Linked DNA regions of Drosophila melanogaster. The protein of the gene in region 2 interacts with the protein of the main gene of each other region in a biochemical or structural test. Each region holds a gene or a part of one and is shown on either strand. Other genes may lie near its edges. The genes, in order: Tnpo-SR and SC35.

What was found.
Region 1: the proteins of SC35 (region 2) and Tnpo-SR interact in far-western blotting, tested with the Drosophila melanogaster proteins (one study listed by BioGRID).

The regions. Positions count from the first base shown.
Region 1 is NT_033779.5:2,758,159-2,764,483, reverse strand, and holds Tnpo-SR (Transportin-Serine/Arginine rich), read right to left. Parts: upstream 4,561-6,325; 5' UTR 4,452-4,560; coding exon 4,338-4,451; intron 4,268-4,337; coding exon 3,176-4,267; intron 2,981-3,175; coding exon 2,814-2,980; intron 2,761-2,813; coding exon 1,396-2,760; intron 1,334-1,395; coding exon 1,273-1,333; 3' UTR 595-1,272; downstream 1-594. Other genes in the region: Snx21 (sorting nexin 21), read left to right, coding at 43-178; Snapin (SNAP associated protein), read left to right, coding at 4,837-5,241; HemK2 (HemK methyltransferase 2), read left to right, coding at 5,260-5,934.
Region 2 is NT_033779.5:12,430,302-12,435,659, reverse strand, and holds SC35 (SR family splicing factor SC35), read left to right. Parts: upstream 1-1,621; 5' UTR 1,622-1,747; coding exon 1,748-1,825; intron 1,826-1,950; coding exon 1,951-2,081; intron 2,082-2,479; exon of another isoform or gene 2,480-2,635; intron 2,636-2,709; exon of another isoform or gene 2,710-2,862; intron 2,863-2,936; coding exon 2,937-3,315; 3' UTR 3,316-3,351; intron 3,352-3,455; 3' UTR 3,456-4,585; downstream 4,586-5,358. Other genes in the region: eRF3 (eukaryotic translation release factor 3), read right to left, coding at 237-663; CG5435 (uncharacterized protein), read left to right, coding at 4,873-4,913, 4,967-5,358.

The DNA.
Region 1 (6,325 bases), 9.7 Mb from region 2:
CGCATTAAGAAAAAGGCTAATCTGAATATCTCATCCTTTCAGGTGGCAGCGCGGCCAGGACCAAAAGCCAATCACCGACCGACTGACTGACATGTCCAAGCAGGGCATCAACACGGCGAACACCGAGAGCCTCATGCAGGCTATACACAAGATCGATCCTCGCACTGAAACAATTTGAATCGTGAATCTCCGCTACAATTTTCATCCATTAGTTTAATATTTTGTTCTGTAGTCTTTAGCTGTCCGGCGAAAAGTGCAATTAGATAATGTGTGCAATTAGTTTTAAGGTGAAAGAAGTATTTATCAACCTTTGAGGTAGAGCCCATATGTACCCCCTTTGTCCTCCAAAGTAGTCCGTTCGTGCGAACAATGTGTCACAAAGCATAACCAATTTAAGACAACAATTAAAAAAAAAAAGTATGTACGTCTCTTCGTCTAAATGTTTAATTCGTTATTTTAAAACTCTGATTTTCAAATTAAAATGTTAGATTTTTATAACTAAATCAAAGATTTTCAAATAATTTAACTAAAATTGGTTCTTATTAATAGCTTACATTAATATTGCGACTAAATGTAATTCGAAACAAAAAGGTTCTGTTCGTAACGTACTGCTTTGGTAACTTAAAGGTTAGTCTAAGCATATTTATGTTTCATGTTACGTATTGTTTGATATCTCTTCAATCGTCTAGTTTGTAGTTTGTACCCAGTGGGAGTTGTGATTAAGCCGTGCAACGTACATAATTCACAAATCCATCATCGAATGTCCATGACGCAGTGTCTCAAAATCCATGCCCAGAATTCCATATCAGCCTGCGGAAATATCAGACAAGTCAAACGAACAACGCAGCTCCCAGACTTTTTTGTTTTTTTTTTCTTCCAGCCCAATGTCTTGTGATTGCTTTTTCAATAAATAAATATTATACTCAAGTGTTTTGCAGAACAAATGTGGTCAATTATATCTAAATGGTATATATTTAATGGTTTGCCTTATGCCTATGCTTGTTTGTGAGTCATTTTAGGTTTTAAACTTAGAGCTAGGAGTGCACGCTGATGTAAATAACTTACTGCTAAATTCTGTGAGGATCTCTTGACCGCACTCAAAATGTACAATTCAAATTATATATAACTTATTACGTCAAACAATCGATTCAACTATATTATAAATAGAGGGGTACGTGCGTTTTTAACAAAATTCCTAGCACCCTTGCCACATTACATACATCATTCAAAATGTACAGAATCATCCGAATCCAAACTCATGCATCTCCCTGATTAGCGAAAGAGTCGCGTGAAGGTTTTCAAGGCTTGCGAAATGGCTTTCGTTGTGTCCGCTCTACAAAAGGAAATATAATATATTATGAATAAAATACAAAACGTCTGATGGCAAATCCTCACCTCAGAACTGTGCTGCTAAATTCGTCCAGCTGTTGCTGCGTGGCTGTCACGTAGCCACCGCTGTTCTTTTTGGGCAGTGCCTCCAGCGCCTGGGCCAGGAAGGGCTGCATCCGCTCGTTGCCCACCACCTGCTTCAGTTCGTGGAGCACCTCGGCCACATCCACCAGCATGTAGGAGTGCAGCTGAAAGACGGATGCCTGGATCAGGTTCATCACCAGAGCACCGCCATGCTGACTGGCCAGCTCCACCACCAAGGGACGGCACTCGGTGTTCCGGCTATGGTTATTCGATCTGCCCCAAACCAACAGGTTGATAAAGAACTTCATCACAGACGAGTTGGCCTCGCGGTGGTCCAAGGAGCAGGCTATTAGCGCACACTGGAAGATCGGCGTGATGAGACTGCTCTGGAGCAGCTGGTGGGGACAACAGTCCAGGTAACGCGATGCCAAACGGAAGAAGTCATCCACTGTGTCGGGGTTATTTTTTAGACCGTTCTCCATCTGAAGCAGGCCAAATGTGGGCTCTATAAATGCCTGAAGCATCTCCAAAAGTCCGCCAATGCACTCGCTGGACTTTGCGAACTCGTCCACCAGTATGGAACCCACGTAGAGGAAGCAACTGTGGTGCTGCACAGAATACAGCACGACCATTTGTTTGATCAGCGGTTCCACCAGCATCATTGCTTGCTTTCTCACCATCCGAATGCCGTAGCGAATCAGTCGGCAGGTGCGCTCCATGATACGCAGATCACTCTGGTACTTATCCATCACCCGCGATATCAGCTGCCAGGCGTCGTTCAGAATAGCTACCGTGGGGTGCTCCACGTTGTCGGGAACGTCTGGATTCGTGTGTCGGATAATGGCGCAGGCGCGGTCTATCCAGTAAACGGGATCGGTGCGCTCTCCCTTTTGAGGAGTACTGCCAGTGCTGTCCACCAATTGTGCCAGTGGTTGCAGCTGGAAGCCGACGATTTCCCGCAGAGCAGGCTGCAGTTGCTCGCGTGGCAGGCGTGTCAGTATAAGCGATATGCCCTTTAGCAATCCTATTGCCACATCGTTGTTTATTTGAAAGCTGTCCAGACTGCGGGCGATCTCCACAAGACCGCTTATATGGCACACCATCTTCTGTCGGCAGGCGGAGCAAATGGAAGTCAATGCAATGGCCGCAGCTGGCGCCAAGCCATTTTTCTGCTGCAGGGCGTACAGCAAAAAGTTTAGGACTGCCTCCAGCGATTCAGGATGGTTCTCAATCCAGTCGCACAGTTCGCCGATCAGTAGAATCGCAGTGTACCTAACTGCTATGTGCGTTTGCTCCGACATATTGAGAATCGCCTCCACCACCTTGGGGATCACTTCGTTCTCATCTCTGCAAGGTAAGTATTGTAAATCTGACATGGTAATAAACAGCTGCATACGTACGGAAGTATATTTTTGGCCACGTTCTGCATAATGAACAGTGCTGCCTCTGTGGACTCCCACGTAGTTTCTGGAGCTTGCAGGATATGAAACATTTGCTTGAAGCACGCTCCAGATCCCACTATGAAGGCCACGTCTTTTATTAGATCTGAGACCTTGCGTCGAAAGTCCTGCAATTCATTTGTTTTAAGATTAGTACAATTAACTTCAAGGCATTATATTAATTTAACGTTGATAATGTAGAAAACTAATCAAACTTCTTGTACTCATTTCTAAATAAACCGACTCTAGCCATAAATGCCTATTCAATTAAAATACCCAACTTCAAAGAAAACTGCTAAAATTTCTCAATATCACACACTCACAAAGAAATTGTTGTTCTCCTCGATGAGCCCGTCGTGGTCGCTCTCCATTTGCGAGTGGCGAAACAGGGCGCTGATCAGCCGCTCGATGTGCGGCCGGAATAGAACCGTCAGCTTATCCTCGTTGCGCTGGAATAGATCCTCGGAGAGTTTGTACCACAGGTGGAAGGTGATCTCGGCCACCTCGTAGTCGAAGTGTCCGACGCAAAGCAGCACAAGATCCAGTCCTTTCAAACTGTAGTGTGGCTTCTGGGCATCGGCCAATAAATCGTAGAAGAAGGCATCGCACAACGAGGTGAAAATTCGGCAGTAGTTGATCGTCTTGTCGGTGTCCTCGTGCGCCACACTCAAGTGATAGGGAGTCTCCAGCATGCAGACAGCTCCAAAGAGTTGTGCCTCGAAAGAGGACTCCGGATCGCTGGCGCCATCCTGTCGTGTGTTTATGCAGGAGAGCAGCGCACACACGCATTCGGTGGCATTGTCGTGCAGTTTTCCACTGGTCTCCGGCAGCGAGAGCAACCGGAAGGCCAGCTGTGTGAGGGCGTTGTTGTACACGTGCGAGACGGGAAAGGCATGGATCACCAGCCAGGCACTGTAGGTGCGCAACGCCGCATTCCACACGCGCTGCTGGTCGAGATCCTCCCGCTGTAGGCACATACACAGGAACTTTAGGACACACTCTGCGCTGGCGTCCAGCTGCTTGTGCACCTCCTCGCGCCGATTGGCGCCCAGCCGCAGATACCGTGAGTCTATTTCCTCGGGAAGCACCTTGAGCACCTCCAGCAGGGGCCAGATGGCGCACTGATGTGGCGCCAGTGTCACCAGAAGATCGTTGATCGGCTCCCGCCAGCTGGCCATCAGCAGGGCCAGATCGGCAACCGCCAGACTGAGCTGCGTCACAATCACATTGTCCGTCTGCTCGTCGATCTGGCCTATGTGTGTGATCAGTGAATCCCGCAGAGATTCGTGCGTGTGCGGTGGCAGTTCGCTGAAGGAGTTCTGTATCTTGTTCCGCATGGTCTGCGCAGCAAAGTAGTTGGCGTGCAGGTCTCGTTTCTGGTGAAGCAGCTCGTCCGCAATCGTCCAAGAATAGATCTTTAAGGAAGTCCAAAAAAAAACTTAGCAATCGCACGAAGGTTTCGTACACCGGGCGATTATCACTCACCGACTTCTGGAAGTCCTGGAGCCATTTGTTGGCCTTCTCCTGCTCCTTGGGATTGTTGCCTTGGAAGAGGGCGCTGATTGCTTGGTACACCACGTCCACCGAGTACGTATCCATTTCATCGGCAGCTTTAATCAGCGCATAAAATTTCTTAATTACTTATTATTATACTTTATTAGCGATGGCTGATTGCGTACATCCCGTGTATCGATAACGCAAGGAGGTGGCATGCGATAACTTTGAAAGGTGAATGTCCGATAGTCTGCAGGACTTTTTGAAATTATTCAGGGTTGTCAAGTGCGTCAAACATTAAGGACCATTAAAAATAATTAAAATATTTTTACAGTCAAATATTTTTTAGCTTATGTGAATTCGTTTTTTGAGCAATAAAGCTACTCGGTTTTTATATCTTAATACTTGCCACCCCTATGTAGTCGATACATCGATACCATTGGTTGCTCGCAACAACATCTCTAATCAGTTTTCTGATCAGAATTCTGCAATGGATTCGGACAGCACCGTGACTTCCTTGGAGGAGAACACGGAGAACTTTTGCACGAATCCCACGCGCGACATCCTCGCCGAGGGCATCACCAATCTCTTCAAGCCGACGATCGAGCGGTTGGACGAGCGCGTGGCCTCCACCATCCAGCTGCAGGCTGAGCTGCGTGGCCAACTGGATGCACTGGCCGCCCAGCTGAGGGACATCGAAAAGGCGCAGAGTCAGATACCCGAGTTCGCGGACAAGGTGAAGGAGCTGCTGAACGTCAAGCACAAGGTGACGGTCATAAGCAACGTGTTGGTGACCAGCCAGGAGCGGCTGACGGGTCTGCACAAGCTGATAGAGAAGGAGCAGCGGCGGCGACAGGCGCTTCTCGATTCCGCGCTCAGCACCAACATATCCTAAATCCAATTACTGTTCGTCATGGAGACGCCCTACACCGACCACTTGAGCCCAGAAGATTTCGAGCACGTTTACGAGCCAGCGGAGGACTCGTTCCTGCTGCTGGATGCCCTGGAAAAGGATCTGGAGTACCTGGACCGGCTACAGCCGAGTCTCTGCGTCGAACTGGGCTCCGGTTCGGGTGTGATCATCACGGCGCTGGCCAAGAAACTGGCTGGCTTTTCGCTGTGCCTAGCTACGGATATCAATCCCAAAGCCTGCAATGCCACTCGAAGAACTGCGACTCGGAATGGCGCTCGCTTGGATAGCATTCGCTGCAGCCTAGCGGATGCACTGCGTCCGCGATCCGTGGACGTGCTGCTCTTCAATCCGCCCTATGTAGTCACCAGTGACGAGGAGCTGCAGACGCAACAGTTCGATTCGCACAGCGAATCCTCAACGGATCGCAATCTGGTTTTCTCCTGGGCTGGTGGACAGGACGGGCGACGCGTCACGGACATTCTACTCAAGCAATTGGATGACATTCTTTCGCCTCGAGGCGTGCTCTACCTACTCCTGCTGCGGGAGAACAAGCCGGAGGAGATTATCAAATACTTAGAGGGCCTCCAGTTCCGGGCTGTTAAGTTCATGGAGCGACGCATTCCTGGCGAGCATTTGTGCATACTGAAGGTCACCAGGTACTTGGCATCATCATGACTCGTGCAATAGCATCAAATTAAAGTTGTATTTTAATTAAAAGATAAACTTTTTTAGGCGTTTATTCTTAAATTTGATACTAAATAATATGGAGAATAATTTTAATAAAAGTTGAAATAAATGAAAGAAATGGCTTATGAAACTTAAAAGCTCTTAAACTTTTAGAAATTTTTGCGCTTATATTTGAATTTGAATATAAAAGTAGCTCAACTTCATTTGCCCAACGAAGAGCCCGGAATTTCATCATTCGTTTTTTTAATAGGCATCTGCTAAGGCTAATCGATTTTCAATCCGAAAAAGGTACTTAATCAAAGGAAATTTCCGATTGAATTTTTCCATCATCCCTTAGTATATGATTTCTTTCATAGGGAGGATTGTGGGAACCAGCTCG
Region 2 (5,358 bases):
AGGTTATGTACTAGGGCCAGCGATAATAACCTAAACGGAACCTGGTGAATGCAACCTATCTTTGGGGTTTTCCCTATCCCATTCCCCATTGTTGTGTCTCTGCCAACGGTCTTGCGACCAGCAGGTAGCAACAATAACACGCTTCTTTGTTGACGTCACAGAAGAAGCGAGTTCAATGGACGTGGGGCATGTGTATTTGGCAGGGGGTATTTAGGTAGCTAGCAAGCTCTATTTACCATTGTTTGCGATTTTGTCCGAGGGGTTGAGACCATCGATGGGCGTTGGATCCGCCGCCGCTGCTCCTGCTGAAGGCGTGGTGGCTGGCGAACCCGGCGCTGGCGATGCGGAATTGGAGGATGATGTGGGCGGCTGTGCTGAGGGTGCTGCTGCCCCCGCCCCCTGTGCAGTTGGAGGCGGTGGAGCTGCTCCCGCTGTGGATCCCCCGCTGCCGACGGAATCGGGTGTGGTGGCTGGCGTGGCTGAACCGGAGGCGGGACCCGGATCCGCCGTCTCCTCGGCCGCAGCCGCTGCAACCACTACTGCCGCCGCCTCCTCAGCTACATTCACAACGCTGTTGTAACTGAAACTGGGCACAAATTCTACCGCGTTCACGTTCAGCGTTGAGAACTTTGTGCTGATCTCCGTGTTTTCCTGGGCGGCCATCGTTGCAGTGCGTCCGTAATCCTCCGCAGTGGTTTCCTCCGATGAAAATCTCTCTCTCGCTTTTTTCACGCGACGACACACTTTCGCCCTCCTTCTACAAACTGCTTCAGCTGCTTCTTCTTGCTGCTCCCGCACTCACACAGAACACACGCGGTCGTTCGGAATTCTTGGGATTGCCTATGGTAATGGAAATTGGGAATGGCAAAAGCAATGCCACCAACACACGCACGCCTTGATGGTTGTTGGCCGGGGGGGTGGCTTGTGGGGGGTTTAGGCCAGACTTTCGGCTCAATGTGGTCTACACTTTTGTTGTGACTCGGTGTTGTGTTTGTTGTTTGTGCTTTGCTAGCCTGGCCAACTCGGGTTGAACTCGAATTCCCTTTAATTTGATCGACTATCGCCTGTTTGGGGCAGTGGTGACCACCTGGTGATCTGCAGGTATGATTCGACTACCTGAACACTAAATGCAGTGCTCGGAACTAGCAATCTTCTATTATTTTACACGTTTTAAGCCACGCATCAAGTCAGGGTTGCCACTTGTATGCGGTGTTATCGGTGCATCGATATGTGCTGGCTGTCACAGTGGCCTATAATTGATTTGGGGCAAAGTATTAAGATATTTTTAAATTTTTTTAGTAAGATTTTTAATACTTTTAAAATTATTCAACATAAATAATTATATTGCTTTTGTACTTTGTTCTGATTAATATAATTTTTTAAGGCTAAATATAACGTAGTCCACATGTACATATATAAATACAAACTGTATTTGTTTTATGTGTGACTAGACATTAATAATTTTTTATTCACTTTCAGTGAGTTTTTATAATTATTAATTTAGTTATTTTGTATAATAGAAGTGTAATGCGAGTTTTGTAAATATTGATAAGTGTGTAGTGAGCCTTGGGGTTTCAATACATTTCTAAGCTCATCATCAATGGTATCGAATTACAATCGATGTTGTTCCAGCTCTAACGTCGTGCCAGACGCCATTTTAACAGTAGTGAAAAAATCGTCTGGAGTTTGGCTCGTTTTCAGCATTCGCATTAGCATTTTAGCGGTAAAACAAATATCCAAATAGACAATGAGCAACGGTGGTGGTGCCGGGGGATTGGGCGCAGCGCGTCCACCTCCACGGATCGATGGAATGGTCTCGCTTAAGGCAAGTATCTGCTAAGTAAAATGCGACTAAATCGCCCACAAAATGGCGGCCGGCTGGCAACGTTGTGTGGTTAGGTAACCTCTCCAAAAGCATGTAAATTAATCCGCGTGTAATTATGCCTACAGGTCGACAATCTCACATATCGCACCACGCCGGAGGATCTGCGTCGGGTCTTCGAGCGGTGCGGCGAGGTGGGGGACATCTACATACCCAGGGATCGCTACACACGTGAGAGCCGCGGATTCGCATTTGTTCGGTAAGCATTCACTTCTCTTCCGGGAAAATTGTGAAAGTCTTAGGTCTTTTTTGTTTTGTTACTTTCACTTGCCGGCGGTGGATTTTAATTATCATGGGACCTAAAATGTATCCATACATACTAGGAGTAAAATATATGTATTTCCCGAAAGTATACTGCGAAAATCATGCTATACAATCACTCGTCATATCCGCTTTCACTATCTACTTTATAATGTTTCATTGAAAACTAGCACATTGAGGAAAAATGTTATGTATTCCCTGAATTAATCAGGGTATGCAAGCAAATTACAAAAGTCTCAGAGTAATCATTTAAATATCATTTGAATATAGCTGCTATAATAAGTACGCCCCTTGTCTAAACTCAAATATTCCTCTCATTTCATTAGAACTATTTGCATTATTTGCTATCATCGATTGTGTATCAGTTGCTAATCTGTACACTTTCAGTAGCAAAATGGTGCCAGAACAAATGTGTTCACTTGCAACCGTTGCCTACTCAACATTTACTAGCCAACGTACAGAGAATACTACATCTAAATAATAAGTTCTAAAGTTATAGTTTCATAACATATGGCTTCAATGATACATTAAGTTGATACAAGGTCACTTATTCTATTTATTTGTTGTATCTACCTGCATTATTTGCCCCTTTTGAATGTGTAACAGCTTTCAGTCTGTACATCTTCTTTAGCAAAAGGATGCTAGATTGAATGTGTACACTTGCAACAGTTGCCTACCAAACCCCTGCTAGCCAACTTACCGTAAGCCCTACAATTAAATATAGACTTAAATATAAATAAACGTATGTGCAAAGTACACACGAATCTAGTTGATCATGTCCTTAATTTTTTAGCTTCTATGACAAACGTGATGCCGAGGACGCACTGGAGGCCATGGATGGTCGCATGCTAGACGGCAGGGAGCTCCGCGTACAGATGGCCCGCTACGGACGCCCCTCTTCGCCCACTCGCAGCTCCAGTGGTCGTCGTGGCGGAGGAGGAGGCGGTGGTTCCGGCGGGCGTCGTCGGTCACGTTCTCGCTCCCCAATGCGCCGTCGTTCGCGCAGTCCGCGTCGCCGATCATACTCCCGTTCCCGCTCGCCTGGTAGCCACTCGCCGGAACGCCGATCCAAATTTTCACGCAGTCCAGTACGCGGCGACAGCCGCAATGGAATCGGAAGCGGATCTGGAGGACTGGCCCCAGCCGCGTCTCGTAGTCGCAGTCGCTCCTAGATATCGACGTCACGTTCCATTTAGTGGGAGTGCGAGGTGAGTTCATATCGTGTAACGCTTCAGAAAAAGCTTTATATAAGGTTAAACATACCTTACGTTAAATAGGGATTATTTTAAAACTAGTTGTTCTTTGCTTTCAGATATGACTCGCTGACTAGGGCCAATGCTGTATCCTGTTCCGGATCTATGGCTCCATCTGTGTCATGCTGTACCCGAACAGCAGGTATAGAAACCATTATACAATCTTACACTTAACACAACTATTTATAGCGAACTATTTTAAGTTTCGGCAGAGTAAATAAGTAGAGATCAGGCATGATTATGTTCCGAGTGAGATCCCCGCAACCTGGGCGATCCCTCGATGTCGGTTCTTGCACATAGGCTTTCATATACTAGAGCGTAGTAGAAATCCTTGAACGTAATCAGAAACAGAACAAAATAAACTCAAATTAACACGGCTTCAATTCAATACCTAAATATCAAATGACAGACAGGACAGGAGGAGAATGAGAGGTGGATGAGTGATAGGAATACTCTAGGATTCTGTTTGTTTCGTTGCGATTCGATTCGATTGCGTTTGTGTTGCTCGTTTCCGTTCTTTGTACCTTTTAACGACAAACTTATTAACAAGCTTCTCCCACACGTTTATTATATATATGCAGGCGAATGGTGTGTGGCAGTTGTTGCGGTTCAGATAAGATTGTGGTTAAATCGCTCGCGATTAAGGATCAGCAGCAGCGCATCATCTAAGCTACAACTCCTTCCTCACGTAGGCGGACACCGCGTGGCTCCTGATTGTTGCTACTGCTGCTGCTGCTGCAGATGCTGATGCTGATGCTGCTGCTGTCGCATGATGCTGTTGCTGGTGCCGCTGATGCTGCAGTTGCAGTTGCCGTAGCCGTAGCAGCTTCCTGTTTCCTGTTAGACGCTGGCGCTGCCAAAGCTGCTCCAGATTCACTCATAGTTTCCCGTTTCCCGTCACTTCTTCTCTCGCCTCGTCTCGTCTCGTCTCAACTCGCGATTTGTTGCTGGTTGGCGTTGTTGGTGTTTTCCTGTATCTTGGTGGGCGTCCCTTTTGAGTTTAGGCGAAAAGTCATCATTTGCAGCAGAGGCCACATCGACGATGCGATGGATGCTAGAGTCTGGATTGCATACTGACTCGACCGAAATGTGGGATTCCCTAACGATCTGGTACATTCGGTAAGTGAGAGAGCTAACCCTTTGAATTTGCAGCCTAATTAAACGCTTCAATAAAGTTTTACTTGATTATAACTTAACCATCTACATATGTTATTAATTGGTTGAAATGGGGTTTTAAAACATATATGTATCTTGGAATATTGTAAAGAAAGATCTAGTATCTTCGGATGCCCAGAACATCCATCCATTATGTTTCGGTTTCTATTGACTCCCGAGAAACATGGTAGTCGGGGGGTATATTGACAAAGCAGTTGCCGGGAAACCGAAGGCAAAATCACATATACCCAAGTCCTTCTGAATACGATTCAGAAACCCTTTTACACTTTCATCTAAATTATATTGGTTTCTCCTGCAAAGATGATTCAGTACGATACTGTGCAGATCAAGAATGTATCATGGTAAGCTTTAGTTATGCCCGACTTGGCTCAAGATGACTATTGTGTGCTCTCAGGCAGCCGGAACTGCATACGGAGGGCACCTATGTGTGCTCTTTTCCAGAGCCCCCGCTGCCGGAGGCCCATCTGAAACCGGGCACCTGGCATGGCCATCTGGAGCCGTATCAGCGGCTCTTCTATCATCAAACGATGAACTCGGTGCGCTCGAGCAAGCGGTACCGTGCCAATCCGAACATCCCGAAGGATACGCTGGACTTTTCGCTGCAGTCGCGCTACGATCACACCCGCGAAGCATTTCCGGACAAGGTGGACTACGTGATGCAGAGGGAGACGTGCCGCGCCATAAGTAGCTGGTCAGCTCCTGGGGCGGCCAAGGAAATTGGTTCCCAACTCAAATCATTTCGGGTGTTGCGCAACACGCGCTTCATTCGGCGCAAGCAGGAGGACG